Coturnix japonica: one gene and its partners. The protein of the gene in region 1 interacts with the protein of each later gene in a pairwise test. Links are inferred from orthologs where the notes say so. Each region holds a gene or a part of one and is shown in the gene's direction. Other genes may lie near its edges. The genes, in order: KCTD9, NUP35, SYT6, GEM, EGFR, TRIM42 and EHHADH.

What was found.
Region 2: the proteins of KCTD9 (region 1) and NUP35 interact in binary tests that used the Homo sapiens proteins (3 or more experiments, as listed by UniProt). The two-hybrid records come from large-scale screens. The link is inferred for Coturnix japonica from reciprocal best matches to the Homo sapiens genes KCTD9 and NUP35.
Region 3: the proteins of KCTD9 (region 1) and SYT6 interact in binary tests that used the Homo sapiens proteins (3 or more experiments, as listed by UniProt). The two-hybrid records come from large-scale screens. The link is inferred for Coturnix japonica from reciprocal best matches to the Homo sapiens genes KCTD9 and SYT6.
Region 4: the proteins of KCTD9 (region 1) and GEM interact in binary tests that used the Homo sapiens proteins (3 or more experiments, as listed by UniProt). The two-hybrid records come from large-scale screens. The link is inferred for Coturnix japonica from reciprocal best matches to the Homo sapiens genes KCTD9 and GEM.
Region 5: the proteins of KCTD9 (region 1) and EGFR interact in a protein complementation assay, tested with the Homo sapiens proteins (2 studies listed by IntAct). The link is inferred for Coturnix japonica from reciprocal best matches to the Homo sapiens genes KCTD9 and EGFR.
Region 6: the proteins of KCTD9 (region 1) and TRIM42 interact in binary tests that used the Homo sapiens proteins (3 or more experiments, as listed by UniProt). The two-hybrid records come from large-scale screens. The link is inferred for Coturnix japonica from reciprocal best matches to the Homo sapiens genes KCTD9 and TRIM42.
Region 7: the proteins of KCTD9 (region 1) and EHHADH interact in binary tests that used the Homo sapiens proteins (3 or more experiments, as listed by UniProt). The two-hybrid records come from large-scale screens. The link is inferred for Coturnix japonica from reciprocal best matches to the Homo sapiens genes KCTD9 and EHHADH.

The regions. Positions count from the first base shown.
Region 1 is NC_029537.1:1,991,829-1,996,601, forward strand, and holds the start of KCTD9 (BTB/POZ domain-containing protein KCTD9), read left to right. Parts: upstream 1-1,825; 5' UTR 1,826-1,874; coding exon 1,875-1,922; intron 1,923-2,507; coding exon 2,508-2,629; intron 2,630-3,383; coding exon 3,384-3,427; intron 3,428-3,779; coding exon 3,780-3,876; intron 3,877-4,339; coding exon 4,340-4,398; intron 4,399-4,773. Other genes in the region: CDCA2 (cell division cycle-associated protein 2), read right to left, coding at 213-343, 572-911. UniProt on the Homo sapiens protein: Substrate-specific adapter of a BCR (BTB-CUL3-RBX1) E3 ubiquitin-protein ligase complex, which mediates the ubiquitination of target proteins, leading to their degradation by the proteasome.
Region 2 is NC_029522.1:6,181,595-6,185,201, reverse strand, and holds part of NUP35 (nucleoporin NUP35), read left to right. Parts: intron 1-141; coding exon 142-269; intron 270-2,077; coding exon 2,078-2,138; intron 2,139-2,693; coding exon 2,694-2,835; intron 2,836-3,211; coding exon 3,212-3,281; intron 3,282-3,372; coding exon 3,373-3,501; intron 3,502-3,607. UniProt on the Homo sapiens protein: Functions as a component of the nuclear pore complex (NPC).
Region 3 is NC_029541.1:3,837,361-3,841,456, reverse strand, and holds part of SYT6 (synaptotagmin-6), read left to right. Parts: coding exon 1-462; intron 463-2,134; coding exon 2,135-2,255; intron 2,256-2,717; coding exon 2,718-2,889; intron 2,890-3,249; coding exon 3,250-3,400; intron 3,401-4,096.
Region 4 is NC_029517.1:114,173,962-114,178,670, reverse strand, and holds the start of GEM (GTP-binding protein GEM), read left to right. Parts: upstream 1-1,630; 5' UTR 1,631-1,771; intron 1,772-3,184; 5' UTR 3,185-3,194; coding exon 3,195-3,528; intron 3,529-4,709. UniProt on the Homo sapiens protein: Could be a regulatory protein, possibly participating in receptor-mediated signal transduction at the plasma membrane. Has guanine nucleotide-binding activity but undetectable intrinsic GTPase activity.
Region 5 is NC_029517.1:73,822,949-73,826,961, forward strand, and holds the start of EGFR (epidermal growth factor receptor), read left to right. Parts: upstream 1-1,213; 5' UTR 1,214-1,534; coding exon 1,535-1,652; intron 1,653-4,013. UniProt on the Homo sapiens protein: Receptor tyrosine kinase binding ligands of the EGF family and activating several signaling cascades to convert extracellular cues into appropriate cellular responses.
Region 6 is NC_029524.1:5,100,330-5,105,031, forward strand, and holds the start of TRIM42 (tripartite motif-containing protein 42), read left to right. Parts: upstream 1-1,594; 5' UTR 1,595-1,746; coding exon 1,747-2,087; intron 2,088-3,146; coding exon 3,147-3,853; intron 3,854-4,702.
Region 7 is NC_029524.1:2,549,537-2,553,923, reverse strand, and holds the end of EHHADH (peroxisomal bifunctional enzyme), read left to right. Parts: intron 1-1,118; coding exon 1,119-2,389; 3' UTR 2,390-3,509; downstream 3,510-4,387. UniProt on the Homo sapiens protein: Peroxisomal trifunctional enzyme possessing 2-enoyl-CoA hydratase, 3-hydroxyacyl-CoA dehydrogenase, and delta 3, delta 2-enoyl-CoA isomerase activities. Catalyzes two of the four reactions of the long chain fatty acids peroxisomal beta-oxidation pathway.

The DNA.
Region 1 (4,773 bases):
CTACAGAAACAAAACCAGCATTCAACTCTCTATTTAAAAACAAAAGCATCCAAGGAAAATCAAGAAAATTAAGGCCAAAGCTATTTCTTCTACTGACCCCTTCCCTTGGGTTTCTAGTCTCTTTCTGCCAGGAGGTGTTAAAATGGAAGACTTACATATTGATCCCTAAGGGAATTAAAATGATGCATTAGACACTTGAGAACAACCCTCACCTGTGTTAAAGCTTCTTTTTGCCTGTTGCTCTTCTGCTGGGCAAGGTATTGAATGAGGGTATTGTTTTCTGGAGACCCCCTTGCTCCAATGGCTGATCTTCGTCTGAGCTTTAGAGCAGCTGGAGACTTTGCTGAAATGGAGAGAGAAGGAAAAAAAAACAATGAAGATGTACAGCAGAACACTGGTTTAATGGGGTTTGGGTTTTTTCTTTAAAGAATGGTTTGCGTTATTTCTGGAAACAACCTCATATAGCTTTACAGCTCAGAAAACTGTCAGAAAATCAATTAATCAGCATGAGCAGAAAGACCTACAAGATCATCCAGTCCAACCCTTTCTGATCACTCCAGCCTTGCCTTACCTGTAGATCCATTAACAAAGCTTTCTGGAGTAATCCCAAAATCAGCAGTTGTTACAGTTGCAAAATCGACACTTTTTCTCCTCTGTTTCTCTGCTAATTCGCAATAGGATTTTTCTTCTGCTTTGAGCCTTGCAGGCGTTGAGTAGCACTCATCTCCCAAAGGCACGGATCTACCTGAAACATTCTCTTTGCTGCTCAGAGGCTGGGCAGCTTCACCAACCACAGCCCTTTTTGGAGTATCTAAGGGACATTCTGACCACTGATGGCTCTCAGCATCATGATACAATTCCTGCTCTTGGCCTTTGGTTCCATTGCTTACGTTCTCTTTCTCAGATGCCATTTCAGGCTCAGTCACTTTGCAAACCTTCCACTCTTCTAATGGGGATCTCTTCAGTCACTGCAAGATTTCTTCTCTCATTGCCTTCATCTTCCAGCACAGCATCTCTAACCTTTGATGACAACGTGTTTTAAGCCCGAAGAAGCACAAAGTTATTCACTTGCCTCCAATAACAACAGCTCCCTGTTAAAAAATGACAAGTTTTAAGTCATTTGATAAGGAAAACAGCCCTGTAATGATATGAAATGACTGCAGATCTAGAAAACCACTTGGGGAGGGGGGAAAGGGGAAGAATAGGGAAAGCCTTATGGTAAGAGAAGCACAGAAGCTTGGCTATGGGTAAGGAAACACAGGCTTATGCTTTTATTTTGTGGTAAATATATACATTTAGCGTTTAAATGCCCGTTTTAAACGCAATTGAGGTATGAATAGTATAAAGGGGAAGGGGAAAGGGGGGGGGGGTTCTTTAGGTCTCTCACATCTTTCGCATTACTGGGTTTCTCTCAGGTATTAAAGCTCAGGGAAACAGGCCACAGCAGCAGCTCACGAGAATACGCGTTAGGTTCCACGGACCGGGCTGTTTAAGGCAATAAGGGCCATACAAGGGCCATACAAGGGCCATACAAGGGCCATTACCACAGACCCCCCCCCCCCCCACCTCAGCCGCCATCCCCGCTCTCCCCTCACGTTCGAACCGCGGAGCCATCAATGACCGTTACGCGCCGCGCCGCCATTTTGAATTGCAACGGTCGCCGTCCACGTGACAGCGCGCACCAATCGCGAGCAGCGTTTGCTTTTAAGCACCCAACTCCTGTTTTTGATTGGCTGCTGGTACCTCTGCTTCCGCCCACTCGTTGTTTCCCCGCCCCTCCTGCGAGGCGCGTTTCTCATTGGCCAGCGGCTTGGCTGCGATTGGTTATAGCTCCTGTCGCTCAGAGAGCGCTGACTTCCGGGTTTGGTGGCAGTATGAGGCGGGTCACGCTGTTCGTTAACGGCAGTCCCCGGAACGGGAAGGTGAGGGGTGGGGGGGTTGAGGCCTGTGGGTCGGATTTGGGAACCTGAAAGTGAGTTTCTGAGGTTGTTCTATTTTCCTCTGCTTGCTTTGGGACTGGAGGGCTGCCTACTGTGGCCGTGATTGGGGTAGTGGGGTCTGAGGGGCCGGGTTGAGGCCTAGGCCTGTGTATGGGGCAGCACTGGGCCTAGGCCATATAGGACCCATAGACCCCCATACAGGCCCCCATAGACCCCATACAGGCCCCACAACCCCATATGGGCCCCATAGACCCCATACAGGCCCCACAACCCCATATGGGCCCCACAACCCCATATGGGCCCCATAGACCCCATACAGGCATAACTGCTCTTCAATGCAGTTCAGCTCCCATTTAGTGGTGCTGTGCTGATAGAAACATGCCCTGAGCACATTAGGGATGTGCTGAGGTCTTCCTGTGCTGTGCTTTCTGTTGGGTAGCTGATAAATAACCTTTTTTTCTGCTCAAAGCTGTGAAGCAATGTCTATAGCAAAAGCATATCAGGTTTTAAGGCCCAATGCTGCTCTGGGATGGTAGCAGCCCTAATGTGGTTTCCTTCTCTTTGCAGGTAGTGGCTGTATATGGCACGCTGTCAGATTTGCTGTCTGTGGCGAGTAATAAGCTGGGGATCAAAGCAACCAGTGTTTACAATGGGAAAGGTGGGCTCATCGATGATATTGCCTTGATTAGGTAAGGTTGATCCCATAAATGCCAAGTCGTGGATGGAGATTAATAGCTTGTTAATGCTCTTAATAAGGGCAGGACCATCTTTCCTGTGAGGAAAGGCTGAAGGAGTTTGGCTTGTCTAGCTTGGAGAAGACTCCAAGGAGACCTCATTGTAGCTTTTCAGTAATGGAAGGGAGTTTACAAGCAAGAGGAGGGACTGACTTTTTACATGTTGTAATAGGACAGAAGGAAATGGCTTTAAAATAAAAGATGAGATCTAGGTTGGATGTTGCTGGGTGGGGCCCTGGACAGCCTAATCTGATGGGGGGCAAGCAGCCCACAACAGGGGTACTGGGGATCTTTAAGGTCCCTTCCTAAGCCATTCTATGAATAACAAGTGATTACCATAAAACCAGAGATTATTTTTGAAAAGGAGACAAACTATGGTATGGTTTTGGCTTCATGTAACATAAAGCACCTCAGAGTGGGGAGAAAAGGAACTATTTCATAAAATTAAAGCTGCTGAATATCAGAAGTGATCCCTACCTGGCTGATACAAGTCTCTATTGGTAGCATTTCTAGTGCAGCTGGTAAAATTGCAGTCATCTGGAACCTGCGAAGTTAAGAGAACAATCAGATTCTTGATTCTAACTAATGGAATCGGATTATCATATACCTGAAACTAATCAGGAGAGGATCCCAATGTTACTTAGATGAACATATAGCTGTTTAATCAATTTTTTCCTGTTTTTCTTCCCTCTGCCCTCTCCCCTTCCAGGGATGATGATGTTCTGTTTGTATGTGAAGGGGAACCGTTCATTGGTAAGTCTTTAACTCTTCAGCCTTCTGTTTACTTAGGCAGATAGTAACAGGACAAGGGGGGATGGATTTATGCTAAAAGAAGGAATAATTAGGGTAGCTGTTAGGAGAGTAGTGAGGCCCTGACACTGCTGTCCAGGGGAGCTGTGTGTGCCCCAGGCCAGGCTGGATGAGACCCTGGGCACCCTGATTTGATGGGAGGCAGTGGCAAGGGATGGGTGGGCTTTGAGGTCTCTCCAACCCAAGCCATTCTATGCTTCTATGCTTTGCTTTAGTGTAAATTTTGACCTGTTACCATATGGAGGATTCAGAAATGTTCACAATTCTAACATCTGTCTTCTCATCACCTGTGTAGATCCTCAGACTGATGCAAGACCTCATGAAGAGCTAACGGGGGCACATACAGACTGGCTAACACTCAATGTTGGAGGTCGATACTTCACCACCACACGGTAAAAATGAGGCTAGTTGAGCTGGAATTACCTTCAGTAAGGTTGCTATAGTAGCTGGGCTGTGTTCAGGTACTGAGACTTTAGATGCTCTTGAGAAAGAACAAGAAAAGTCTTTTGCTGTGGAGTAGGAAATCTTTTGCAGCTTTTTTTAGTATTAGGCATTTGTTGCCACCATAAACAGTTCACATATGTGCTGACAGTGGTGAAAAGCCTGAGCAGGTCTGCATTTATCCCTGGAACATTTCAGCTAATGAAGTGCTTTCTATTTGAAGTACTTTTGGTACACCTTAGATCAGAAGTGTGCTTTATCTCCTCTGAAATCAAATTAGCACAGAGTTGGAATGCATATCATGCACCGTTAATTACCTTCAGTGTGCCAAGGAAATGCATTCCTTCCAGCATATTGGTCTTATAGCAAAACTTTCCACTTGAAAAATAAAACTGCACTGCCTTTCTTTTCTAGGAGTACTTTGGTTAATAAAGAACCTGACAGTATGCTGGCCCACATGTTTAAAGATAAAGGTTAGTATCTCAAAACTCTCCCTTTAAGCTAACAAATTAGCCAAACAGGTAAAAGGCATTATTAAGTTAAAGCTCTTGTTTATGTGTTGAAGTATTAAAAGTATGTTAAAGCATCAAAGCACTACTTATGATCATTTTCTCTAGTTGTCTATTTAACCTTTGTTCATATAGTGTTTATCTCACACATTGAAACTAAAACTCCCATCCAGAGCTAATACTTTATAATAGAGTCTGTTTTTCTAGTTTAGACTTTTCTGGCTGTTGCATTTTACTCTGTTTCAAATGAGATGTATTTACCAACCAAGGGCAGATTAATACTGCTTTTACTCTAGTAATGGTTCTTAGGCATGTCATGAGATGTGTTTAAGCTATTTA
Region 2 (3,607 bases), on another chromosome or scaffold:
GAATAGTTTTGTTGGCTGTTTTGTAAGCTCATGAAATGATTAAGTATTTCATAGCTAAATTCACTGTTAATTTTGACTGAAGAACAACCTGCAGCAGGCTGAAGTTACCAGCTTCCTTTTGTTATGTTGTTTTAACTTCAGGTGGCTCTCCTCCACAGCCAGTAGTCCCTACACATAAAGATAAAAGTGGTGCTCCGCCAGTTAGAAGCATATACGATGAATTATCTAGTCCTGGACTTGGATCTTCACCACTAACCTCAAGAAGAGCAGTAAGTTATTGTCTTTTTCTTAGCAGACAAGGTGAGGTCTTCAGTGAATACCTAAGAACAGTTTATGCAACTGAATTAGTGTAGTGCCTGGTGAGTCTTGTGATCATGCTGATATGCACTCCAGTCTTCCTTTGGGCCTGTTCCTGGGTATTCTGACAGCTTTGCTATGGGACTGCTTCTGATTTTTAAGGGTTTTCAGTAGACCCCTTCCCAGACCTCATTTAAGGGTTGGCAGTGGAGGTGAGGGTATCCCTTACTGGAGATCCCTGCTTACTGGAGGTCTTAAAGTAAGCAGCTGTTTTTCATTTCTGTACCTGTGGTTGCTGTGTTTGGGCTAGTTCACATTTGCTGTAGCTGAGGACTTTGTCATCCTGCTGTTATCATCCCATTATTGAGTATAAGATATGATGTGAACTTGGGCAGTGAGGTGGGGGGTTAATCTTGAAAGAGCAACAGTGATATTTCTGATAGTAAACTCTTCCTCTTACCTCAACTGAGTGGTCAAGTGTTAGTGGGTATTTTTTTCAATGTACATCTGCTGATGGAAAGACAATGCGTGTTTCTCAATGAGCAGACTTGATTAGATGTTGTTTTCTGAAAGCTTTCCAAGGAGAAGAGAGTCCCCTACTGCTTAAAAGTAGTACTAATGATAATGAGTAGCTAATAGTTTCAATGCAGGTTGCTAAGCTGACAGGTGCTCCATTTTGTTTCGTTTTCTTTCAAAGAAATACTATGACTGAGGATAAAAATACACTCAAATTGTTTCAAAAACTGAGAACTTGATATGTAGGAAATAACTATTAGCAATTAGAACTTGGTGTTTAGTTTCCTTCACTAAATATTGAAGTTACACTGAATGGTTCTATGGAGAAGAAATAAAGGTGAATACAAGTAGGAGCTATGCTATGTTATTTTGGAGTTTTTGAGATGCAAATCAGCTGATAATATCTCATGCTGCCATCCTTTCCTTAAGATGCATGTAGTGCAAATTGCTGGCTTGCAGCAATAATAAAATGTCTGGTTGGATCAAGTTAAACTCTCAGCTTTGTGAGTATTGGTACCAGAAGTTATTTGGATTGATAAAGTTTACAATTGGTGTTAGATAAAGGTTTTTTTTGACAAACCATCTGATTTCTAAATGACCTAAAGCTTGACTTAGACCTAAGTGAGCTTTTTTCATATATAACAGCAAGGCTTTCTCGTTAGATAAAATGATATCAATATTGCCTGTTGCTTGTGCAACCATTTTGTGAAGTAGTTTGCTCATTGTTCCCATGCACTCTTTAATACTTGAGTTTTGGCTTGTTGACACCTACTGGGTGTGTATGGGAAATCACAGCTTGAACCACTGATTAGTCAGCTGAGGCAAGTGTTGGGTCAGCTGCAGGAGCACAGGTGAGAGTAATCTAGCTGTGCTCCCGGTTGGGGTGGACTTCGACTCCACCCCCTCTGAGACCTCATTTAAGGGCTGACCACCACTGAGGCAGCATCTCTTGGAGATTGCTCCCTGGTGGAGACTGCCTCAGCTATCCAGTCCAGGAATCGATGTTGGTGAGTCTTCTTTTACTAATAACCTTTGACTGTTTACCACCATCTTGGTCAACATCTTTATATTAGCCACCCTTACAGGGTGCTAGTATGTGTCAAATACAGATACATACATGCTGGATATTAGTCTGGAAAGTCAGAAGTAACTTAAGACGGGGTTAATATTACTGCTTGATTGTTGAGCTAGCCTGAAAAAGAACTGTTCTGATCTGAGAAGTGTACCTATGTAAATGTTATTTACTTTCTGTATTTTACTACAGGGCAGTTTTTCTCTAACGCAGAGCCCGTTGGTTGGAAACATATCATCAACTCCTGGAACAGGTAGATGTCCTATGAAAACTCTTCATCTACTTTGTTACTGCTTTCCTTAACACATAATACTGTTCAAACTACTTCAACTCCTTGCATGTTTGCTGCATCTGTATTTTTCATTAGCTTTTCAAAAGTTTTGTGGGTGTGAATAGGAAATAGCTTGACTCATAGTGGTAGAATTTCCATCAACTTCACATATTTCTCACTGAGCATCTCTTGCTCAAGAGGTATCTGTGTTTGAGAGAAGCTTCTGTGATTCAAGAGTGGTTGTCTGTGCTGATAAGGCTTCCAATTTTCTGTATGAACACATGGCTTCTTGTTAAGCTTAACTCTGAGTGTCTTGCTTCCCTTTGGTGTCTGCATTGAGTAGTTGCTGTGTGGGGGTGAGTGAAGCCTGCTAGCTAGCTGGAAAACTTCTGAAATCTGGACTAACTAAATGTTTGTCTGCAAATTAATCTCCATTGAATTCTTCTGGGTACAAGTGAAATACTTAATAGTGAACTTCTTTTAGGCTGACTTGTCTTGCAGATGAATATATTAAACAGTTTTGTTTTAATTTAACAGCTTCAAGTATGTTCAGTCCTGCAAGTATTGGACAGCCTAGGAAGACTACTCTGTCTCCAGCTCAACTAGATCCTTTCTATACTCAGGGTGATTCCCTGACTTCAGAAGATCAATTAGATGACACATGGGTAACTGTATTTGGGTAAGTTTATTTGGAAATATTTGGATAGTTGTGGGCTAGGTCTTAGCCACGAATGGAAGCAAGTAGCACTTGGACTGCTGCTATTTGATGTTCCTACATTCTTCAGAATGGACAATTGCTTGTAAAGCCGGTAGGTGCACATACCTGCTATCTTAGTGAAGAAGCTTAACTCTACGTATTAGTAAGTTAGAAAGGCACTGTTCTACCATTCTATTTATGGCAAATTAAAAATGCATACAAGATAGTGTTACTCAAGTTACTCCTTCTAAGATGCTATTAAAGTGCCGGTCTATTCTGGATTTGCGAAATCCCTTGGTGGAGTTGGGTTCTATCACCAAAACTCATCATTTTTTTGGGAATTTGTTTTGTCTTTCAGATTTCCCCAAGCATCTGCTTCCTATATTCTTCTACAGTTTGCTCAGTATGGAAACATATTAAAGCATGTGGTATGTCTTAGTCCGAAGCTTATTTCTGAAAACGTTCTGGCTCATACTTTAAAATGGTGAAGTTACACAGTTTTCATTTTATCACATACAGATGTCCAACACAGGAAACTGGATGCATATTCGGTATCAGTCTAAGCTTCAAGCCCGAAAAGCCTTAAGCAAAGATGGAAGAATTTTTGGTGAATCCATCATGATTGGTGTCAAACCTTGTATAGATAAAGTAAGTTAACAACTGCTCTCTTTTAAATAAAATATAAGCATTCTGCTTTTGGGATTCCTTTTTGTTTCCCCTACACACTTTGTTTTCTATTTGAATCATAGAACAT
Region 3 (4,096 bases), on another chromosome or scaffold:
ATCGGCCGCATTAAGCCTGAGCTCTACAAGCAAAAATCTGTCGACTCCGAGGACCCCAAAAAAGAAGCAGCAAAAACCTGTGGGAAAATTAACTTCACTCTCAAGTACGACTATGAGAACGAGACGCTGACCGTCCGAATTCTCAGGGCTTTCGATTTGCCAGCCAAAGATTTCTGTGGCAGCTCAGATCCCTATGTGAAGATCTACCTCCTGCCCGACAGGAAGCGCAAGTTCCAGACACGAGTGCATAGGAAGACCCTGAACCCCACCTTCGATGAGTCCTTCCATTTCCCTGTGCCCCACAAGGAGCTGGGGAGCAGGAAGCTCCACCTGAGCGTCTTTGACTTTGACAGGTTCTCCAGACATGACATGATAGGAGAAGTTATCTTGGAGAACCTGTTTGAGGACTCAGATCTCTCCAGGGAGACTTCCATCTGGAAGGACATTCAGTATGCAACAACGGTGAGTGTCTGCTCCAGCGGTGCTGGGGCAGGTGGGTTGGCCTTCCCCTATGGCTTACCTGAGCCCTGTGCAATGGGAGCAGCTGGGTTTATTGCTGGTGGTGCCATTAGCCCTGGGAGCCTACAGCAGTCACACACAGGGATGGACAAGGCTGCTCTATGTAGAAGCGTGACAGCTGTAACCAAGCCCTGGTTTGCTGGGATTTCATCCCCTCATTAGTGGTTTGCTGTTATCTCACCTGCAGTGAGTCTCATTGACACCAGGTTTGCTAAAAACCAGATGGAGGAGTGAGGTAAATTCCCTGTTATCATCTGTTCATCAGGGGAAGGTCTTGGGTTCTGGATGTCTGCCACGTGCACATGATAAACAGCCAGAAATAGTTTTGGAGGGGCTGTACTGGGCTTTACTATACGGAGAGCATCATTCCATCATGTTACCGTTCCCGTGGTTGTTATGAGCCTTTCAGCAGTTCTATTGTATTCTCTCTGAAAGGGAAACCTAACGTCAGGGATGGAAATGTTCCAGCTGCTTTCAGTGCTGCAGGCTTTGGCTGAAGCTGGCAGGAGAAGCCACCTTCTCACCCTGATCTTGTTGCAGAAGCAAAGGCATTAACCTCTATGCAGTAGCTATCTGCTTGTCCACTGTCCTCCCAGGAAGACGTGACCCTTCCTGAGGGGTGAACAAATGACTGCTCTGCTCTGCAGTTGGACGCCAAATCAGTTGTCTTTTCAGGTTGTTATTTCTGAAGCTGGAACATGGGAAGTCCTCAGCCCTGCCTGGGCTTGGGCTGGCCCCAAACCCTTTGGTGATCGTGGTGGTGTTGGGACAGTGGTTGGACTTGGTGATCCTCAAAGGTCTTTTCCTTTAATGATTCAGTGGTTCTATTCTATGCCTCATCCTGTGCCAGGCTCAGCTTGTGGACAAGGAGAACCTCTTTAGTGCGTGCTGAAAATCATCCTGATAGATTAATAAGGTTCCTTTTTTGTGAAGCAATGAATTCAATTCCCAGTAGATGCATCAAGCAGCATTAAAGGCAGAGGAATAATAACTCAGTAACTGTTCTCAGTGTTTCAATACTGATCACAGACTGTGGGGCTGTGACTCAGGTCACTTTGCCCTGAGGTTTGCTCTGCTAATGTGAGACCCCTGAGTACAAGGCAAGATTTCCTTTAAAATCCATTTCCAGAAGGTATCTGGAAACCTTTCAGGTGAAGTCCCAGCTGTTTAAAGAATACCAGGCCTGTTCATAGTCTTACTTTTGGTCTATTTATGCTTATCCCTGAATTCCCATGAGCAAGGCAATGATAGAATGGGCTTTTGAGAGGTGTAAAGAGAAATGCTACATGTGCAGGAGGTGTGAGGAGCTGTGTGTGAAAGTTGTTTTACAGAGCACCCAAACAGCAAATGGTATCGATCTGTGTCATCCTGAAGTGCTAAACGTTTCTGAGTGCCATCTGCTGGTTAATGCACTATTTATGTACAGACATACACACATTGATGCTGTGTTTGTCAGCTCTGGGAGGGCACATTTGAATGGGCGATGGTCCAGGGAAAAGCCTGTTCTGGTGCGAGTGCTGCATGAACCCTGCACACAGCATTGCGATGGAGGGTGGATGCAGCCAGGCTGAGTCTTGCACGTTTCCAATACAGTCTGTTCTCTGTTTTATTGAAGGAAAGCGTGGACCTGGGAGAGATCATGTTTTCCCTTTGTTATTTGCCAACTGCAGGTCGCCTCACCCTAACAGTCATTAAATGCAGGAATCTCAAAGCGATGGACATCACCGGTTACTCAGGTGGGTGCTGGTGGCTGAGGGCACTGTGAGCTGCAGCCACGCTTCCTCCTCCTCCCATGAGATACCTCAGTGGGGACACATCTCATTGTGCAGCTCAGTGCTTCTATAAATGCTGCATATTTGCTGCTACTTCAAAGTGCATTGCAATTGTCCAAGCAGCCAAAATCAGAAACAGGAGCCATTTGTAACCAAGATGCATTCTGCCATGATCAGCCAACAGAAAGCAAGCGAGACAGAGCTGTTCTAATATCTTTTCTTCCTCTGCTGCTCTCTGGGAAATATGAGCTTTCAGATTCCTCTGCTCACTGTAACTGTGCAACATAATGGAAGCAGTTGGACAGATTTGGCAGCAGTGCAGGAAAAGGTGCCACATCCATGCTATGGAAATGCTGTTTCTGTATTGTGAGGGTAAGAAAATAAACCTCCATAATCAGAAGTCCTTTTCCTCTCTCCTCCTTGCAGATCCATACGTCAAAGTGTCTTTGCTATGTGATGGTCGAAGGCTTAAAAAGAAGAAAACCACCATAAAGAAAAATACTCTTAATCCTACTTATAATGAAGCAATAATCTTTGACATTCCCCCAGAGAACATGGATCAAGTCAGCCTGCTCATCTCTGTCATGGATTATGATCGGTAGGTGGAGGGCTCTGGGGAGAGGAGAAAATCCCATTGGGCACGGATGTTCTGCTCAGTAGTTGTTCCCTTACCATCACAGCCTTGACTGCACCCCTGCGTGGCATCAATGTGTCTCTAGAGATGTATTATGAATGTCATTTTTATATGGTTATAGGATCATAGAATAGCTTGGGCTGCAAAGGCCCACAGTGCTCATCCAGTCCCAACCCCCTGCTATGTGCAGGGTCACCAACCAGCAGCCCAGGCTGCCCAGAGCCACATCCAGCCTGGCCTTGAATGCCTGCAGGGATGGGGCATCCACAGCCTCCTTGGGCACTGTGGGCAAGAGATAAGTGTTGCTTTCCTATTGTTCTTCAGAGTGGGTCACAATGAGATCATTGGGGTTTGCCGTGTGGGGGTCAATGCGGAAGGATTGGGAAGAGACCACTGGAACGAGATGCTGGCGTACCCACGCAAGCCCATCGCACACTGGCATCCATTAGTGGAGGTGAAGAAGTCTTTCAAAGAGGTACGTGCAGTTCTTCTTTCCTTTGAATCCATGTACTGTGCATGACTGAGCTGGGTCAGGGCTTTCAGAGAGGAGCAGTTCTCACTTGGGGATTTCTGCTAAGAGCTGAGGGAATGTTCTCACCAGACATGAACTCCAGAAGCTGAACATCTCAGAGCAGCCTTGATAATATATAACTCCTTGAGCTTGCAAGCAAAAAAGATAAGAGCTGTATTTACAGATGTGACTGGTACCGTATGACTATTTTTATTTTTTTTAATTTTTTTGTGGGTTTTTCTTTTAATTGAAGCCAGAGCAGTAAGGAAAGAGAATGCTGCTCTGATTGCAGAACAAATTGTCCAGGGATATCGCGTAATTCAAGCTTCAGTTTGTTCATCCTAGAAGATTTTTCTGTTGACTCATCTCCAAGCCTTTGAGGGAGAATAAATAGAACAAATGTAATTGCTGCAAGCATCTGCAGAGAAAGAGATTCACTGGATATAACCCCAGATGGTGAAATAGGGCTGAGATGCCTGAGTGCCATTTTGACCATCTCTGGCGTTTTCTTCCTCCTTGAGCTCCATTTTGTCACACTCGTATGGGGTTGTTTGCTTTTTATCTGATTTAGGTAATAAATTCTGGAGGAGAGAGATCTGGAGAATGGCACTCAGTGAAAATAAAGCCAGCGTTTGTAGCCGGCAGAAGTAAAATAAATGC
Region 4 (4,709 bases), on another chromosome or scaffold:
GATTCATTTCCGCTGTCTGTGCTTTCTGCTATCATACAAGTTAAACATTTGGGTGAGACGTTAGAGCCCACGGTTCTGCTGGCATCCATCTGGCCATAAAACTCTGCAGCCCTGTGATGGACAGGTTTTGCATTATTATAGGAGGTGACGAGTGACAGGCGACATAAAGAGAACTGAAATCCCTTGAGGGTGCAGCACGCAGCTCTGCAGCCATCCGCTCCCCCACTTCATTTACATTTTGCAAAAGGGAGGAGCAACTTCAGAACTCGGTGTGCTGACAGCAAAGTGCTCTGCTTTGAGACCCACTGGCCTTGCCATAAACATTCCCTGACAGGGGTTGTGCCGTGTTTTGCTGTGCTGTACAGTGAGCACAAACAGTTGTTGTGTGCATCCTACGCAGAGCTGCAGGGCTTGGAGCCAGGGCAGCCACTGCTGAACAGAGGTGATCCAACAGGATGGGCTCAGAAGATCCCTGAAAATCCTCATGAAAAATGCAGAAGTGCAACAAAGCTGAAGGGGAGAGAAATCAGGCATATCTCAGTGGAAGAGTTTCATAAAGGGCTGCATTATCAGAGGAAATGTTCTGTACAAGGCTTATGTGAGACACAAAAATGCAGAAGTCTGTGACATGAGTGCCAGGCAGTACCAAGGGAAGGGATGTTCCACCCTGCACAGCGCTGGTGCTAAAGCTCAGCTGCCAGGGGAAGGGCAGTCACAGGTTTGGAAAAAGAAGGAAAAATAGTGGGAGTTTGCTGTAGACTTCTGTATAACTGATGGTATCCCTACCAAGTATTTTGTGGAGGTTTATTTCTTTGCTCTGTTAATTGTGATTTCCACACAGGCTGTTAGAAATGGCACCATTTGAGGAGCAGGCACATGCTTTGTGGTGCATACACTGTATAGCCATCTCTCCTAATAAACTGCAGACAGAATCTGCACCGTGTCGCCCGGGCTCTGTGCTCTGTAATTCACATCCGTCTTTGCTGGCGTCCAGCTGGAGCAGCACTCAGTCTGTGGGCAGCCGTTCTGTTGAGCCCTTGCAGGAGGAGTGCTGCAGCAGGGGTGGGAGATGGCTGGTAGAGCCTTGGAAGGTGATGGAAAAAGTAGGATTGTATGTTTTGGATCTCTTTAAAAGACAAATAAACCAAACCAAAACAAAACAAAAAAAACAAAACAACAACAGAATAATATTCATGCTTGTGAGATAATTCTAAAATGATATTCAGATCTTTTATTCCACAAAAAAACATCTTGTCCAGTGGGGAGTTAACTGCATTTTGCAGACAGAGAACATCACACATTTACTGCATTATATTCATTAATGAAACACGTAGTTTTAAAAACACCATTAATCCTGCTGGCGTTTGAATGCAGAACTGAGCAAGATGGAAGGACATGTTTTTTTTTAATTTTTCCACTTGCCTGTTTTCCTCATGTCAGCCCCAAATGTGTTTGTTTTACTGGCAACACCAAGACAATCATATGATTTCAAGTAAGTCTTTTGAGGCTGTTTGTAAGTTTTTGCTTTTCTGCATGTCTGCTTCCTCCCAGTTGGGGGTTGGCTGTTGGATGGAAAGGCCAACCACGTCACGGAAAAGCCCTGTCTCCGATCAGATGGGCTTAATATAAACCAGGTTCGCTGAGAAGGAATTAAAGAGGCAGCCCGTAAGCGGGAGGGGATTTACTCTGGCAGAGCAGCTCAGTGTAACACAGCCCACGGAGCGGAAGGCAGCGCGAATCCGGAGCTGACAGCGTGGACGGTCACATACAAGTAAGGAATCTCTGGCCACTGTGCATTGGGTCCTGTGTCTGTGGGGTTTGTTGTGGCTTTGTAGACCCACACAGCTGAGTGCAGTGCATGCCATCAAACCTGGGCTTGGACTGCGACGTGATTGTTTATTGATGGTCATCATTTGTTTGGGCTCTGATATCTGACTGAATTGGAATTGCTTTTTCTCATCTGGTCTTTTCACTGGGGAAACTGAAAGAAAGTAATGCATGGTAAATCAAACTGCGGTTCCTATCTGACTTTGTGAAGCAGGCTTTGCTTGATGCCTAGTTTCTTGTCAGAATCTAGTTTTGCCACTAAGCACTGCGTGTCACAGAGTAAGTACTGTGAGTGCTGTAATAAGATCAGATAGAAAGTGGTTTTGGTCTGCTTATTCTCCAGCCTGATCTATGTTCATTCTAAGAAGTTTTCAGATAGCTTTGTGTGAAAAGGAGTAGTGATCCGAACATGTTGTTTTCATGTGTTGCTGTGCTTGTTTTCATTCACCGCTTGTTATTCAAGTTTGAAAGTTCATTTCATGGGCAGCTCTCCTGCCTACTGACATGGAGAACAGAGCTGATAAAATTCAGATATACTCCAAAAAGCAAAATGTCCAAATAGCCACAGAAGTAACATTCCTAAAAATGGTAGCTGGTGGCCCGTGAGAATGACATCACTGTGCTCTGCCGCCAACCCGCTCAAAACTGAGTTTGCTAATTTAAGTGTAATTAGGGGCCATGCTAAGGTTGGAAGAGCTAACCTATTAGCTAATTGTGAAACAGATGAAGTTTCTGATTTAGTATTTGTAAACTTATGATCTTTTTCTGCCAGTGCCACCTTCTGTAATGGCTTGAACATATACCTCCTCTGAAAAGTCATTGGACTTGGTTGTGTCCCTGCTAGCAGCCAGAAAGCCACTGTTTTAAGCTTATCCCGACATAGATGAGACCCAAAGACATGTGCTTGCTTGCATGGCTTTCCTCTCCTATGGGAGCTGTGTAAGATTGTGAGTTTGAGGTATGAGGGATGGGTCCCTCTGCTTGCCCCAGGAGGCAGGAGGGCAGGGAGCGTTGCCTGCAGGTGCTGCCCATCTCTTGATGGGGATGCAGCCATATGTGAGCTCTGCTGAGTGCTTCCCTGCCCATACACTTAGCACTACAGGAAACATGTACAGGCTAAAGACAGAGAGGATTAGTGTATGGGGGTGGCATCATCCCCAGGAAAAAGCCTCTGACTCACAAGCTAGAAATATTTCTTTGCATACTAGTACTAGCAACTGCAAAAGTGTGGAGTCTCCTTTTTTGTTGTTGTTGTTGCATACTGTATCCCCATAGAAGAGCAGGACCTGATGCCTTGAGATGGTGTGTTTGTAAGTATTTTGAGAATAAAGTGTATGGCTTCCACATTTCTCACCAGGGGTAAAAAAATGACCCTCAACAACGTTACCATGCGTCGCACCCACCACAGCAGCCTGCAGCAGCAGCAGCAGCGATGGAGCATTCCTGCTGATGGGAAGAACCTGTTGGTCCAGAAGGACTCCAATGAGTACAATGTGCAGAAGCGATACACCATCAGTCCTGATGAATACTACAGAAGGAGCTGGTCCTCGGAGTCATCTGACTCTGTCATCTCCTCTGAGTCCTGCAGCAACTGCTACAGAGTGGTGCTGATTGGGGAACAAGGTGTGGGCAAATCGTCGCTGGCCAACATCTTTGCAGGGGTACACGACAGCATTGACAGCGACTGCGAGGTGCTGGGAGGTAGGTCACCATGCTCTGGGGTCTGTGTTTGCTCACCACCAGCCATGGCAGCAGAAATTGACGTGGAAAATCAGAAAGGTCAATTAATGTAAAATTGACCTAGCAAACATCTGGATCTGATTGTCAAAAGCAATTCCAACACATGCATCTCTCTTAAGAAAACAAGAATAAGCAAAGTAAGCTACAACGAGGATGGTACTCTCTAATAACAACTCAAAGCATCTGAAAAGGAACAATACAGATTCTCATGCTTTTTTATTTCAAAGAATTTGTTGGAAGCTGCCATTCAGTATTCATTCTGGTCCTATTCTTGTGTCACCACAGGCTCCAAAGGGCTATTTCCAGCTTTCTATAGGGCAGAGGAAAACAAGGACCTTTCCTTGTGGTCCACAAGAATGTAATGCTCAGAAATAATATGCAATGAAAAATAAAAAGCCCTATCCAATTCTCCAAAACATTTGCCATTATATGTTATCTCAGCCTTACATATGAATATGTTGTGTCAGCATAGGCTGTAGGGAGTCTGAGCAAAATATATCTACCCCTCATTTCATGTTCCCGTGTTAGTGAGGATTTTGAAACCTTCCTTAGTCCCAAAGACTAGTCATTGCAGAAGGTGAGGCTGTGGCACCCAGCCATGAGGGTGTGAGCAAGGTGCTGTGGAAGAAGGGACATGCAGTGATAGAAGCCTGCTGTGGTCCTAAGGACACAGGTGCTGTCATCTTGGTAACACGTGCAAGTTGCTGGCTGGTTTTGCTATTCAACACACAGAGCATTTCTCTCCTCTATCTGTTCCGCTTGTGCTGATGCCCATGACAGCACGGAGAGTTTCTGAGCTTTTTTTTTCCAGCCTTTGGTGGAGCATAGGCAGGACAGGTTTTTTGGTTCTTAAGCCAGGATTTACTTTGCACATCCTTGTCAGATAGTTTCCTTCTTCATGAGAAGCAGTATGGATTCTTCATTCATTTGCACTCCCAGCACTACTGCTTGGAGGATGGCCATGACAAGTTTTCAAGGCCAGCTTTATGGAAGTATCAGGAAACCTGCTGTTGTATTTCCCCTTTTAAAATGTTGACTTCAAAGTAAGCTCACTGGATGGAGCTGTAACCAACCTGATCTAGCTGTAGGTGTCCCTGTTCATGGCAAGGGAGTTGAATTAGATGGCCCTTAAGGGTCCTTTC
Region 5 (4,013 bases), on another chromosome or scaffold:
TCTTCCTCTCTCATAATGCAAGCTGCAACCATTAGTGTACATTGAAATTACTTTGCAAATCTCCCCTCTCTAAAAGCTGATTTTTTCCTGGGCTTCTCATTTTTTAAAACCTTCATATTTGTCAAAATAAATGAAAATGTGTTATATGCACATAATGTTTTTGTGGTTGCACTGTGTAAACAGCATTGAAGCAAACTGAATTAAATGGATATTTTGTTGCAGGATCAGATTCTGCCTCTGTTAAAGGAACAGAAACAATCAGAGGAGCAGTGCTGTATGGATGTTACTTATTTCTGAGTTTACTTTGACGTATTTATTGTGTATTATTTACAGTGTATAAGGAAAAGAGCATACCAGTTACAGCATCCAAAGGCTCATCTTAAAAATAAACAATTAGAGGCACGATATGGTATGTGTTGGAGCATCTAACTTGTGCTAATGTAAGTAAATGGTGTTTCACTTTTCTTTGCCTAATTAGCACAGTAACTTGTTAAACTATCAGGGAAAAAAATGTGCAGAGGAATCTGATGGGTAGTATAAAATCAGTGAATCAATATAAATCAATATAAATAACTATCAAAGAATCTCTCAGAAGGCATGAATCACTGATGTAAGGCAGAATACACCCAGCAGCTGTTTTACTGTCTACGTAATGTATCTATGATATCCCCATGTGTTGCTATCAGCACATGGGGATAGGCATAGGCATTTAGTGTGTTACCTCCCAAGCCCCTTTCATTGTGAGATTCAGTTCTGGAGTTCCCAATAAATCATAGTAGTTCATATCCTATTGACTTTGTGGCCAAAATGACCACACGGGAATGGGGCTGTTCACGGGCTCTGTTGATGCCGAGGCAGCAGAAACGAGGGTTGTATATAATGGGACGGGATGGGTTTCTGCTGCAGAGCGTCCCACGGGAGGGACATGGATGGGGAGCTGAAGGCCACAGGGCTTTTCACAAGCGGCGACGCAAACGCCTGCTTATGCCTTCGGCAGCTACCGAGCAAACAAACAGCGGGAAGCGGACAACGGGATACCCTCAACACTCGCATAAACCTAGCGGGGGAATAGGCCAAGCTGTTCCCTCCCCCACAGCTGCTTCCTTCTGTCCTGGGACAGGTAGAGGCGGTTCCATTCCTACCTGGGCGGGGAAGGCGCCGCTGGTTCCTCCTCCCCCCGCTTCTTGCTCCCGCCCCATCCTCCTCCCCCTCGGCGTCCCCAGAGGGAGCCCCTGCGCTCCGTGGCCGGTCGGAGAGCGCAGCTGGGCAGAGTAGTCCCTTGGCCGGCCCCATCCGTTCCGCAGCCCCTGCGACAGAAGGAGAGGAGGGAGTAGGAAAGGAGAGGAGGAGGAAGAAGGCAGCAGTCCTTCTGCAGCTGGGTAGGAACGTGTGCGTGCAACCCTCGACGGCTGCCCTCCAGCATGTTGCTCGGAGGCAGAGTGGCAGCCAGGAGCTGAGCGGAGTAGAACGCAGAGCAGAGTAGCGCAAAGTGAGGAGCAGCTCGTCGGGGAGCTCCGTTTGCCCGTCGCGTTCGATGCACACCATGGGCGTTCTCAACCCCCTGTCCGCCGCCAAGCCCCGCGGGGCCGCTCTCCTGGTGCTGCTGCTGCTGGGGCGCGTCGCACTCTGTTCCGCCGTGGAGGAGAAGAAAGGTAACGGGTGGTACGGGTGCTGGGGCTACAGGGTGTGCCCCTTGGTACTGCGGGGAGAGTCGGAGGGAAAGTCTTGGCTTCGTCCCTTAGAAGAAAGGGGGGAAAAAGTAAAAAATAAAAAACTACTGAGAGAAAGATGGAAAAACAGACCTACAGAGCAGTCGCGCAGCTCATGACTTCCTGATTCTAAGCTTATTTTCTTTTGTGGGGGCGGAGGAAATAAAAGGGAATAAACCTTTGAGAGTCTCATCGCTTGTGCTTGTCCCCTCCCGAGGCTTTTATTTTCTGCTCTCTCCTCCACTCCGCCCCCGTGCTCTTTCCGCGGCGCCCCGAGCGCCCTCACTGCCCGGGTTCACCCCATGGTGGCCGCCGGCCCAGTACCGCTCTGCTACCGACACCGGGGAGGTGGCACCGAGCACGGCAGGGACACGCAGGGCAGCCTCAGCCGTCCCGCCGCCTCGGGCCGGGCACCTCAGCTCATTCCGCTTCAAAAAGATGAATGCATGCATATACGTGTGCACACACCTGAGAAGGGTGTGTCGGGGAGGACGGGAAACTTCATGCGGATTCTGGTTCTCCGGTCGTGCTCGCTCTCTCTCTCTTTCTCTCTGCCCGGCCCGATGCCTCCGCTGTCACCCTCGCTGAGAGCGCCCGGCAGCCGTGCGTGGGAACGGCGCGGGACGGCCCGCGAGGCTGTCTGGTTGGCTTCTGGAGCTTTGTTTTTTATACGTTTTTGAAAAACTGGTTTAAGGAGTGAGAGAACGTTTTTGTTGGGAGAGTTCCGTCGCTTTTTCTCCATGTGTGGTGATCATTTCTGTGAATAGGCCCCGAGTGCTGTTCCAGGCAGAGTACAGTTCTCTTTATCTTGGAGATCTGCCAGCAAGGGAAAAAATGCAGATCTGTTGTTGTGTTTTCTTTCTACAGAAAAAGAGGGAAAAAAGAATTAGTAGTGTTTTGAAGAGCTGGCTTGCAGCTGAAAACAGCTGAACCTATGTTTTTGTAACTGAGAACAGTAAAACTGTCCTGAAAGGGAGCAGCAGCTGCCTGTTCTGAGGAACTAGTTACACAACCTCAAAGCATTGAAGAGGCTCCCTTGTTCCAGAAATCAAGTTCATACCTGTTGCTGATGTAACGTAGGCAGCTCTTCTTTCCTGGGTTTCTGATCTTTTTCTTTTCTTGTCTCCCCTCATCCACTGAAAGTGACGGGGAGCAGAGCTGACTCCGTCTGCTGCATTTAAGTCCTTTGAAATGGAACACCCTGATGCACATGCCCAGCAGAATCTGTAAAATGTGAGGGTATATATGTTGTTGCCTTCTTTAAAGTGCTTAATCTGGTGTCTCATAAAATTATGAAGGTGCTGTTTATTTGAGGATTGTTAAATAAAAAACAGCTACATGATAAACCCAATGGGCATCATTGTCAGCATTGTGTTAGTGAGTAACCATTCCTGTGAGGAGGACCGGGGACAGAAGAGGGAAGGCAGAATAACTTCTTCAAGAAGCATGAATCAATTATTTGAGCTTTATCTGTTTTTCTCCGCATTTGAAGATGAGAGAGGAAATAAAGGTGGGTACAGAATAAAGTGGCATTTGGGAATCATAAAATAATGAGTGAAGACCCACTTCCTTGGGACCCCATGGCATCTGAATTTATAACAGTTCTGAAAGCAAATATGCTGCCATAAACATTGCAACACTCATGTTTTATGATAAAATTCTGTTGCTTCTAGAAGTACAAATAGTAAATGCATTTATGCTTCTTAATATTTTAGTTTGTATTATCCCCCCCAAATTACCTTGGCAAATCTTTTTTGTTACAAGAATGTCAGAATCAAACTATAATGGGCAATGTAATAGTTGAATGGAAATTAAAATTCACCTGTATATTTTACCAGAAGTTTAGAACAATCTTTTCAAATTTGGATGAGACGAAACTTTTTTATTTGAATGACTGCAGTCATGAAAATGAAAAACAAACCAAACAAACCCAGTAGCTGTGCTTAATGCAGCACCAAACAGCATTGTTAGAAATTGAACTGTCACAGGGATCAATACCTCCCTCTCTCTCAATCCACCATCTTTAATGTTGATCCAGATTAACAGCAGAGGAAGTAATCTGGATTTACACTGATAGTTGCTGGATGGCCTGTTAGGTGCCTTTGACAGCAGGCATGCCACTTCCTGCAGCATGCATTTGACTGATGTCCATTTTGTTTCTCATTGCTTAGTGACATTGCATTTAGTCAAACCATTTCTTGTTGCTTTTTTGGCTCTATATATCTAGTTTTGATCTGTAGTTGCAGCCATTGTGGAATGGAGTAAAGGACTGTGCACTCTAACCCACTGGGCAGTGTACTGGCT
Region 6 (4,702 bases), on another chromosome or scaffold:
AGTACGTAAAAATCTGGAGCACTGAAGATGGTTTAGGGGAACTACATGGGGCAGTGAAGCCAAAGAAGTCCAAGAGTAAGTAGAAAAATACAACCCACAGAGAACCAATGAAAACAGTATACATTCCTAAGAATGATACAAGTTGCTATTAGAGTCTGTATTATACCAAAATGGAAAACAATGTGACTGGGTATTAGCGTATGGCACACAGGACTACTATTTTTTTTTCCTTATCCTATCAGCTTTCTTTTCTCACAAAAAAATAAATAAAAACTCATACTTCATAAAGAACATTTGCGAAAGAAAAGCAGACAAGCATCAGAAGATATATTTTTTCCTACCAAATGAATGCAAAAGCCATTCAATGTGATAAAATTAAATATGCACAGAAAAAAAGTCTTACTGCTGATAAAACTAGAAAGACAAGTGGTATAAACAACATCCACTGAATGTCCAGGCTATGCCATTCAGCACACAAATCTAATACTTCTGTGTGAAAATCTGATTGACATAATAGACTATAACCGTTGCAAAGAACCCATTATGTCCCATCATGTAGATGGCTGCATATAATGATACAGCCATTGTAGTCTGTAAGGCTCTGGATCAGTGAATTAGAATTTCTTTATGTAGAACAGACTTTCAGCAAATAGGATCAAGACCCATTTTAGTAATTCCCAGTTATGCATTCACCCATCATCACAAGCTGAATTACTAAATTTCAGGAAAACTCAGATACATAAAGTACAGCAGCCACTTATAAAAAGCAGCATTATTGAGTATGTATCATAAAGCTATCACTGTCCTATAAAAGTTTCCAGTAAGAGAACATGCTTTTTCAGATGTCAGCTGCAGGCAACTTAGTGGGTGGCTCTTGTTTTAGTTAGACGTAATCATTACAGTAAACTACTAGTATGCACTTCTGAGAAGTTCATGTATTTTTTACAATAATTTCATTTTTATTTAAAATTATAATCTCTGCAAATAGACAAAAGCACTATTTAAATCTTCAAATAAATTAGCTAAACAAAAGAAGAAAAAGGCGCTTGATATGAAGTAACTAAAGAATTAGGCCTAATACTGCATTTATAGAAGAGTGGTCAGGATAAGGGAGGTGAAGAAACACACTTGGACTTAGAGGGGGAAAATGCAAGTCCACTGTGAATGAGCACTGAACTTGAGCTCCAAGGATGGTTCCTTCCCCAAGTCTCGGAGGACCAAATGCCATACACTGTTCAAGCGCATCAACACTGACAAAGACTTATTACAGTTACAGATAAAAGACATACTCAAAGACGCATATCAAGTGTAAGTTTCCTTTACGTGTCATAGCTATATTTGAAGCCAACAAAATGACTGTAAAGTGTGTAGTTCTAACAAGACTGTTGCCTTGGGATAGCTAATCCCACTGCACAAACTATTCATGCTATTAATGGAGAGTGAGGTAAATGCTGTCTATGATTTCAAGAACAATTAGAAATATCATGACATATAGATGTTGTAAATCAGCATACAGAGCGTGTATAAAATGTGTATAAACATGTATATAGTACCCTGCCTGCATCCTTATTTGAATACATCACTGTGACATCACATTCCATTTAGAACAACATGCACTGCCTACAGCACAGACCTTAACCCTAGAGTCAGACAGATCTCTTGCCTTGTAGGAACCCAACTGCAATAATTTGAAGAGAAGCTAAAAGGATAAATGAACTTTCTTTCAGCTGTATAATGGAGGGATAGATGAAAATGGATATATGCTCATGCTTCTCAAACTGCTGTAATCTGACTTGCCACAGCGTAAAGAAAGAATGCCGCTCATCTTGGCGCTTCCTCTTTACAAATGAGCAGTACTGCAGCTGTTTTCCGTGCCCATACGAAGAGGACAAATCTTACCAGTGCTGCCACTGCTCATGTTCAGAGCATGCAAATTGCTGGTGGTGCTGTTGCTCTTGCTCAAGTAACCCAGACTGCAAATGCTGCTGCTGTGGTGGTGAGAATTCAACGTGTCAATACTATGCAAGCAAATGCTGCAGAATCTATGTCTTTGAACCACGATGGTCAAGAGCACCAGGGACTGCTCAGTAAGTGGAATCAAGGGCTTTTAGTTTTTATAGGTTTAAATTTTTCTAATTTTCATTCCATCTTAATGGATGTCTTGCATTTAGAAGTATAAGATCCAGTGGCTCAGTGGAGTATTTCAAACCACAGGATATCATTCTTTCTTAAAAGCAAAAAAAAACTTTTTTTTTTTTCCCTACCATTCTCTAGAGTGACAAGAAAAGAAATAGCATGGCTGAACATCTGGGCAGAGAAGGTGCTAAACTGAAGCATGGCAGAAGGCCAGATTGTAGTCTCCTAGAATCAGGAGTACATCCTGAATAATGATGCTCTTTGCCAAGGATATAGAAAATGGCCAGGATCATTATAAAAGTAATACTCTTTTTTTCAAACAATAATGTCCACTGGCTAAGAGGAAAGCCAGGATAATCAAGATTTAAAGAGAACGCAGAGAATCAGTTATTTTCTAAAATACAAGAATTATTCTAATTTTAATAAAAATATCCAAATTTTGATTCTTTCATGTTAATTGCCAAAATTTTAATGATGTAAGACTGCTGCTAAGAATAATCTTCATTTGTTTTAAAAATCAGAAATAATGAGTGATTTTTTAAAATAATTAAAATTTAGGATCCTTCTATGTAAATGTGTGTTGTTATTTTAAATTGAAAAGTTTTTTCTTTTTCATTTTATTTATTTTTGTGTTCTGTTTATAAAAAGAAGCAAATGAGAAGGAGACAAAAACACATTCCAGACTGCAGTAAACCAAAATGAAATCTGTTTTTTGGACACCAGTATTAACTCAAGAAATTCAGAGAGACTTGACAAGAGTAAGATTTCTGCCTACTCACATTGTTGGAAACAGCATTCAAATACACTGAAATAGTTACGAAAATGAAAAGAATGAATTCTTAGTATTGTTAACTTAACTGTTTAAATAAAATATCCTGTCCAAATAAAGGGACGGTTGGCATGCAAGATGGATCTGCTTATTTTATCATTCTGTTTCTTAGATTGTGCACTGATATTCTGCCTTACATTTTCATTTGTTTGCTTCCCCCCCCCCATTTGATTTGCTTAAGGTCAGGAGATGTCACATCAAGATTAAGAACTAGATATAGCACATCTGCCAGTATACCAGAAAGGAAAGGCTCCAGCCAGGCTTTTCGTGACCAGCTTGCCTGTCCACTGTGTAAACAGTTATTTCTCCAGCCACTTATGCTGCCATGCAATCACTGCATTTGTGAGAAATGTATAATAAAAAGCAAGACCAAAGCTGAAGCAACAGAAAATTATTACATCATCATATGCCCGGTGTGTAGCAAAGCTCATTGTCTCCCTTGCACAAACAAAATTCAGCTGAGGAAGAATTACCTTAGAGCAAAACTAGCCAAGAAATACATGCGCAGACATGGCATTCTGAAATGGAGATTTGACCACAGTGTAGGACCAGTCCATTGTGAAGCTTGCAGGGAGAGAAGAAAAGTGGCAACTAAAAGATGTAAAACATGTGGAATGAACATGTGCAATGAATGTCTGCATTTATATCATGCTGAGAGTGGAGCTGAAGACCACATTTTTACCAGTGCATCTCAAGAAGATAACGAACAGTGGGCATGCTTACTGCACCACAACTCACACCTCTCTGAATACTGTCTGGATGACCACAAACTGATCTGTTGTTTCTGCAAGAATTTGCAACACAGTGACCATGAGACCATCCCTTTGGCAGCTGCGTGTTCAAGAGAAGCTGCTTCTCTCTCCAATACAATTGTAAAATTTAAAGAAGGTTTGTATTTCTGCTGCTTCTTACACTTCCCTATGCCATTGCAGGAAAGATACTTGCACATACACTTGATGAGCCACGTTAATTCTTTGAATATCACAAAAGGCAGAAAGATGAACCATTCCCACTGTGGAAATACAGAGGAAAGAAGCCTTTAATTGTGTGGAACCACATGACAAATTCAAATACTAGAGAACAAAGGATTTGTATGTGAGATAGTGCATCTTGGTGTAGGAAACTCCATTTCATACTGCGAGACCCAGTGTGAAACAACCACAAATTACACCTACATTTTTAAATCAGAAGTACATGCCTTTTTCCCTGCAGGCAAATTATGAATTGTCTCTCTTCAGTCAGTATTATGATTGTGTCCATGCTGAGTAAGAGGCAAGACAGCCTCAATGTTCTGAGGAGCTACAGCAATGTCACTTCCTTTATCTAAGAGTTCATCCATAGTGTCTGAGTGACAGTGCAGAGACTGGGATTTTATGAATTTCTTTTAAATACTTTGATTTTTGCATATAACACCACAAATGCTGGGGACAGACAAAGTTGCACAGAAAACAGAATTTGGAAAGGTGATAGTGAACCACATGCAGTGAGAAATAACTGGAAGCATTCAATTTGCATTTTCATAACAGTCTTGAAGCTCAAAAAGTAAAATGCAAAATATTTGTGTAAGGTTCTGTAATGGTAATGTGATATTGTTCCAAAATGTTAGCTGCACTTCAGCAAAATTTACTGTCAGCCTCTGGTGTTTTTGATTCTGTTCTCTCACAGTTCTCAATTTTTAGTGTCAGAAGAATAAATCATATCTTCACATAATGGCTATCAGAGGAATGTACTGTCAGA
Region 7 (4,387 bases), on another chromosome or scaffold:
CGCTGGCTTTCTCACTAGTTTGTATTAGCTCTGTCCACAAAGCCTCCATTGTAGGAGAATAGAATAAGTAGCGTGGGCTGGGTATCATAGGAGAGTGTAAGCACGCAGCTTCACTTAATGTAACAGAGGGCTGAGCCAGGGGAAGGGCTCAAAAGGAGGGAAAGTATCAAGGCAGTAATGTCAGCAGTGTTATTTCTCAGGGTGTGGGCTGGTCGTAGCACATTTGTGGATCTCAGAGGAAAAAAAATACAGCTTAAATGGGTGATTGGTTGTGGACAAGAGTGTGGTTAGACAAGGGAGGCTGTATCTTTAGTAATCCTCAAAAGTTAGGAATGGCCCTTATCAGAGGACTTGGATTGCCCCCCGTTGGCAGAGATGTACAATACAAAGCGTGAACAGCAAGCAAGATGTTCAGGGTAAGAGCACAGTGTCAGTTCCATGCCTGAACTGATGATGAGTGATATAGGAGACATGAAAGTCGAGATCAGACTCTTCTGAGATGCCTTAAAGAAAGAGCAGCTGAATTTGTGTTCACATCAAAGATTACGCAATGAAACGCAGGGTGAGACGAACAAGAAGCTTGCAAGGAAGAGGAAGAAACCAACTGTCTGAGCTTTTCTGGTGTCAAAATATCTGTGTGGGGTGGCTTTGCTTGCAGAGGTGTTCATCTGTGAGTGCCCATGAGGGGCCATCTCAAAAGGACCAGAGAGGCACTGGTGTCCTCAGGATGAAGCTGCCAGAAATAGTGTTGGTCTTCTGTCTTCACTCCCCAAGTTCTAACTATTAAGTGATGCTGGTTTCCATAGGGATAAAACTTTGCAAGGACAAGACATGAATTCATGTGGTCCACACACACCCCTGTGAATCCCGTTGGTATTTTGTAACCTTGAGAAGACACCAGTTTGCCTTTATGCTATTGCTCTTCAGACACTGAGGCTCCCTGAAAGAGAGACTTAACCTTCCTTTTTCTGAGTCTTCAGTTCTTTCTTTCTGCCTGTGCATTTTGCTTAAGCTTCTGCTTTTTATCTTGGAAATACTGAAGGAAGTGCTGCTGTCAAGTGACTGATTGTAACATTTTCTATTTGTAGTTTCTGATTCTATCTCACTTTTCTCTCCAGGGCTTGGAACAATGGGCCGAGGCATCGTGACTTCTCTGGTTAAAGCCAAGATACCTGTGGTAGGCCTGGAGCAGGATCTGGAGTATCTGAACACAGGAAGAAAAGCCGTGATGCTCCTTTTGGAACGTGAGGCTATGAAAATGGAGCAGGGTGCCCAAACCCTGGATTTCCATAACCCTGCACGACTCCAGTTCACCGTGGACTTTGATGTGTTGAGGGATGTAGATCTAGTTATTGAAGCTGTGTTTGAGAACATGGCACTAAAGAAGGAAATATTCAACAAGCTATCAAGAATCTGCAAGCCAGAGGCCTTTCTGTGTACAAACACATCAGCCCTGAATATCGATGAAATAGCTTCTGTCACCAACCGCCCACAGCAAGTCATTGGCACACACTTCTTCTCCCCTGCTCATGTGATGAGGCTATTAGAAATAATCTATGGCCGTCACACGTCCCCCACCACCATTGCCACGGCCATGCAGCTAGCCAAAGTGATGAAGAAAGTTGGAGTGGTGGTAGGGAACTGTTTTGGGTTTGTTGGGAACCGAATGATGTTTCCATATACACAACAGGCAGTTTTCCTTTTAGAGGAAGGAAGCAGACCAGAAGACGTAGATCGGGTTCTTGAAGATTTTGGATTTAAGATAGGGCCTTTCCGAATGTCTGATCTTGCTGGGCTGGATGTGGGCTGGAGGTCTCGAAAGGACCAGGGCCTTACTGGGCCCTCACTGGCTCCAGGAACACCCGCCCGCCAGCGGCGTGGTTATCGCTACAGCCCACTGCCTGACCTTCTGTGTGAGAAAGGCAGGTTTGGCCAGAAGACTGGAAAAGGCTGGTATCAGTATGAGAAGGCTGGGGGTAGGATATCCAAACCAGACCCATGGATTCACAGCTTTCTGTCTGAGTACAGGGACACCCATCAAATCAAGACCCGCTTTATAGACCAGGAGGAAATCCTGGAGCGTTGCTTGTTTGCTCTTATCAGTGAAGGATTTGACATCCTGGCGGAGGGAATAGCGTCAGGCCCAGAACACCTTGATGTAATTTATATCAATGGTTATGGATGGCCAAAGCACAGGGGTGGCCCCATGTTCTACGCTTCCACTGTTGGGCTCCCTAACATTCTGGCTAAGCTGCAAAAATACTCTGAGATGCACCCTGATGTTCCCCAGCTACGTCCCAGTGCCTTTCTGAAAAAGTTGGTGGCTATGGGGAACCCTCCTCTCAATGACTGGATGTCCTACCTACACAGGCAGAGCAACAAGCTGTGATTTCACTGATACCTGCTATAGAAATTCCTTGGAGGTTGATCTCATGAAACAGCTGCTGCAATTGCACTTTTCCAATCAGAACCAAAGTGCTACAGGCTGATAAAAAATGTCAATTACCTTCCTAGGTGAGCCTGATCTCTGTCTCACCTTGCTGCAGGCAACCACTGCCATCGCCCACCCTTGCCTCTTGCCACCAGCTTCACCCACCTTCTTGGCACACTGCTGTGTATAAATGCATTTCATTCTCCTCTGCACTTAATTCTTGAGAGCAGTGCATCTCTTCCAGTCTTTCTTTGTAGAAGGGACAGAACAACACATGGCCCTCAAAGCAAATCACAGTGGGAGGGGAGAGCAAGATGGTCACCGTTCACCCAGGATCAGCTGGACCTACCAGATCCTGGCCTAAGTCTGTTTTCCAGTTTGTTCAGACCTTCCTTCTCCCTGCAGTGCAGTTTCCTCCACCCCAGATTACTTGGCAGTCCCAGATGCAGCCAGTTGGAGCCTCCTCCCTTCACACTGCTGGGGGAGAGCTGGCACATTTCAGAGGTAAATTCAAAGGTATTGGTGAGAGCAGCTTCGGAGAGAGAGCAGGGGGCAGGGCTGGTACTATCACCTGCTCCCTGCTGCCGAAAAAGATTCTAATAAATGACACAAAAGCCACATATGCATCAACCTGACTAACCTGCACTGTGCTGTTGGCTCATGACTGGCATTCTGCATCCAGACTCCATCCTCCTTTATCATCCACCTGGCTTTGTCCAGGCAGAAACATCTTCTGGCATCTCTTAAGTGCGGCTTTGCTTTGCTGTCACTCCCCCTATCTTGCCTGCCTGTGGCTACCTAATTGATCTAATTGACCAGACTGAAACCTGGCCTGGCACTTATCGGGTTTTTCCTTGCACAGAGGGCGTGCTGAGAAGAGCAGGGCTCGAGAGCTGGGCGGGCAGACTTCCAGCAGAGAGCAGAGCAGGAGTGAGCTAGAGCTCTTCCATGCTTTGAGCAAAGTCACCTATTGCTCACGTCTAGTGAATTTATCTTTTAGGTTGGTGTCCTCAGGAAGATTTACACTGAATGTCTAATTGTTGCTTTCTGTTTTAATAAAACCATTTTGATTATCTAATGACGGATTACTGGGTATCGTAAAGCAGAAGATGGAAAATGTGTTTGTTCTTTATACCTCCATTGCTTCTCTATGTGGCAGAACTCAATACACTCCCTGTTTGTGAAGGAGTTCATGCTGGAAGTGGTTGCATTCCACTGTTTTCTATACGTAGCTTCTTGTGCCTTTTATCCACTCTTGCCCCAGTGCAAAACTGGGGTCAGGAAACCCTCCAGAAGCCAGAACCTATTTCTTTGTTCAAGGGAGGATTTTCCTCCAGCACCAGAGAAAGCAATAACTCTTAGGTGCTGAAAACTGCTGCATTCCCCCCCCCCCATCACTTGCGTGTCACAGCTGAGTGCAATCCAGCATTTGCTCAAAGGTGAAGCGCTGCTTCCACGCGCGTGGGCTCCGCGTGACATGTTACACAACAGCACTGCTGCTGCTGGCGGCTGTCACGTCACTGGGCAGGACAGCTCTGGACGTGCTGTGCTCTACCCTCTCCTGGGCCTCCTGCCATGGGGTTCATTCGTACCAGAGATGGGTTAGAGAAGGGCATTGCCCTTGCAGCAGGAGTGGGCTGAGGAGGGGCGGGCATGTCCTTTATCTGCCTGAGAGATGGTAGTTTCTGGGTATCAAGCCCCGCCAGCATCAGCCTTGTGGCCAAAACATCTCACCTACAGCACCTCCGTACATCCAACATGCCCAGCCCCCTTCCCATCTCCCCTCGAGGAAATTACTGAGAACAGAGGCCATTGGCACTCATAATGCCTCTACTGACAGAATCTGTACATTCCTATTGACCAATGCATTGATTGCCATGTTCCAGCCAGCAAAGTGAAACTGCCAGAGCTCAGGGTGCAGCTGTGGCTCTGAGAGCAGGACCCTGCAGTCAGCAG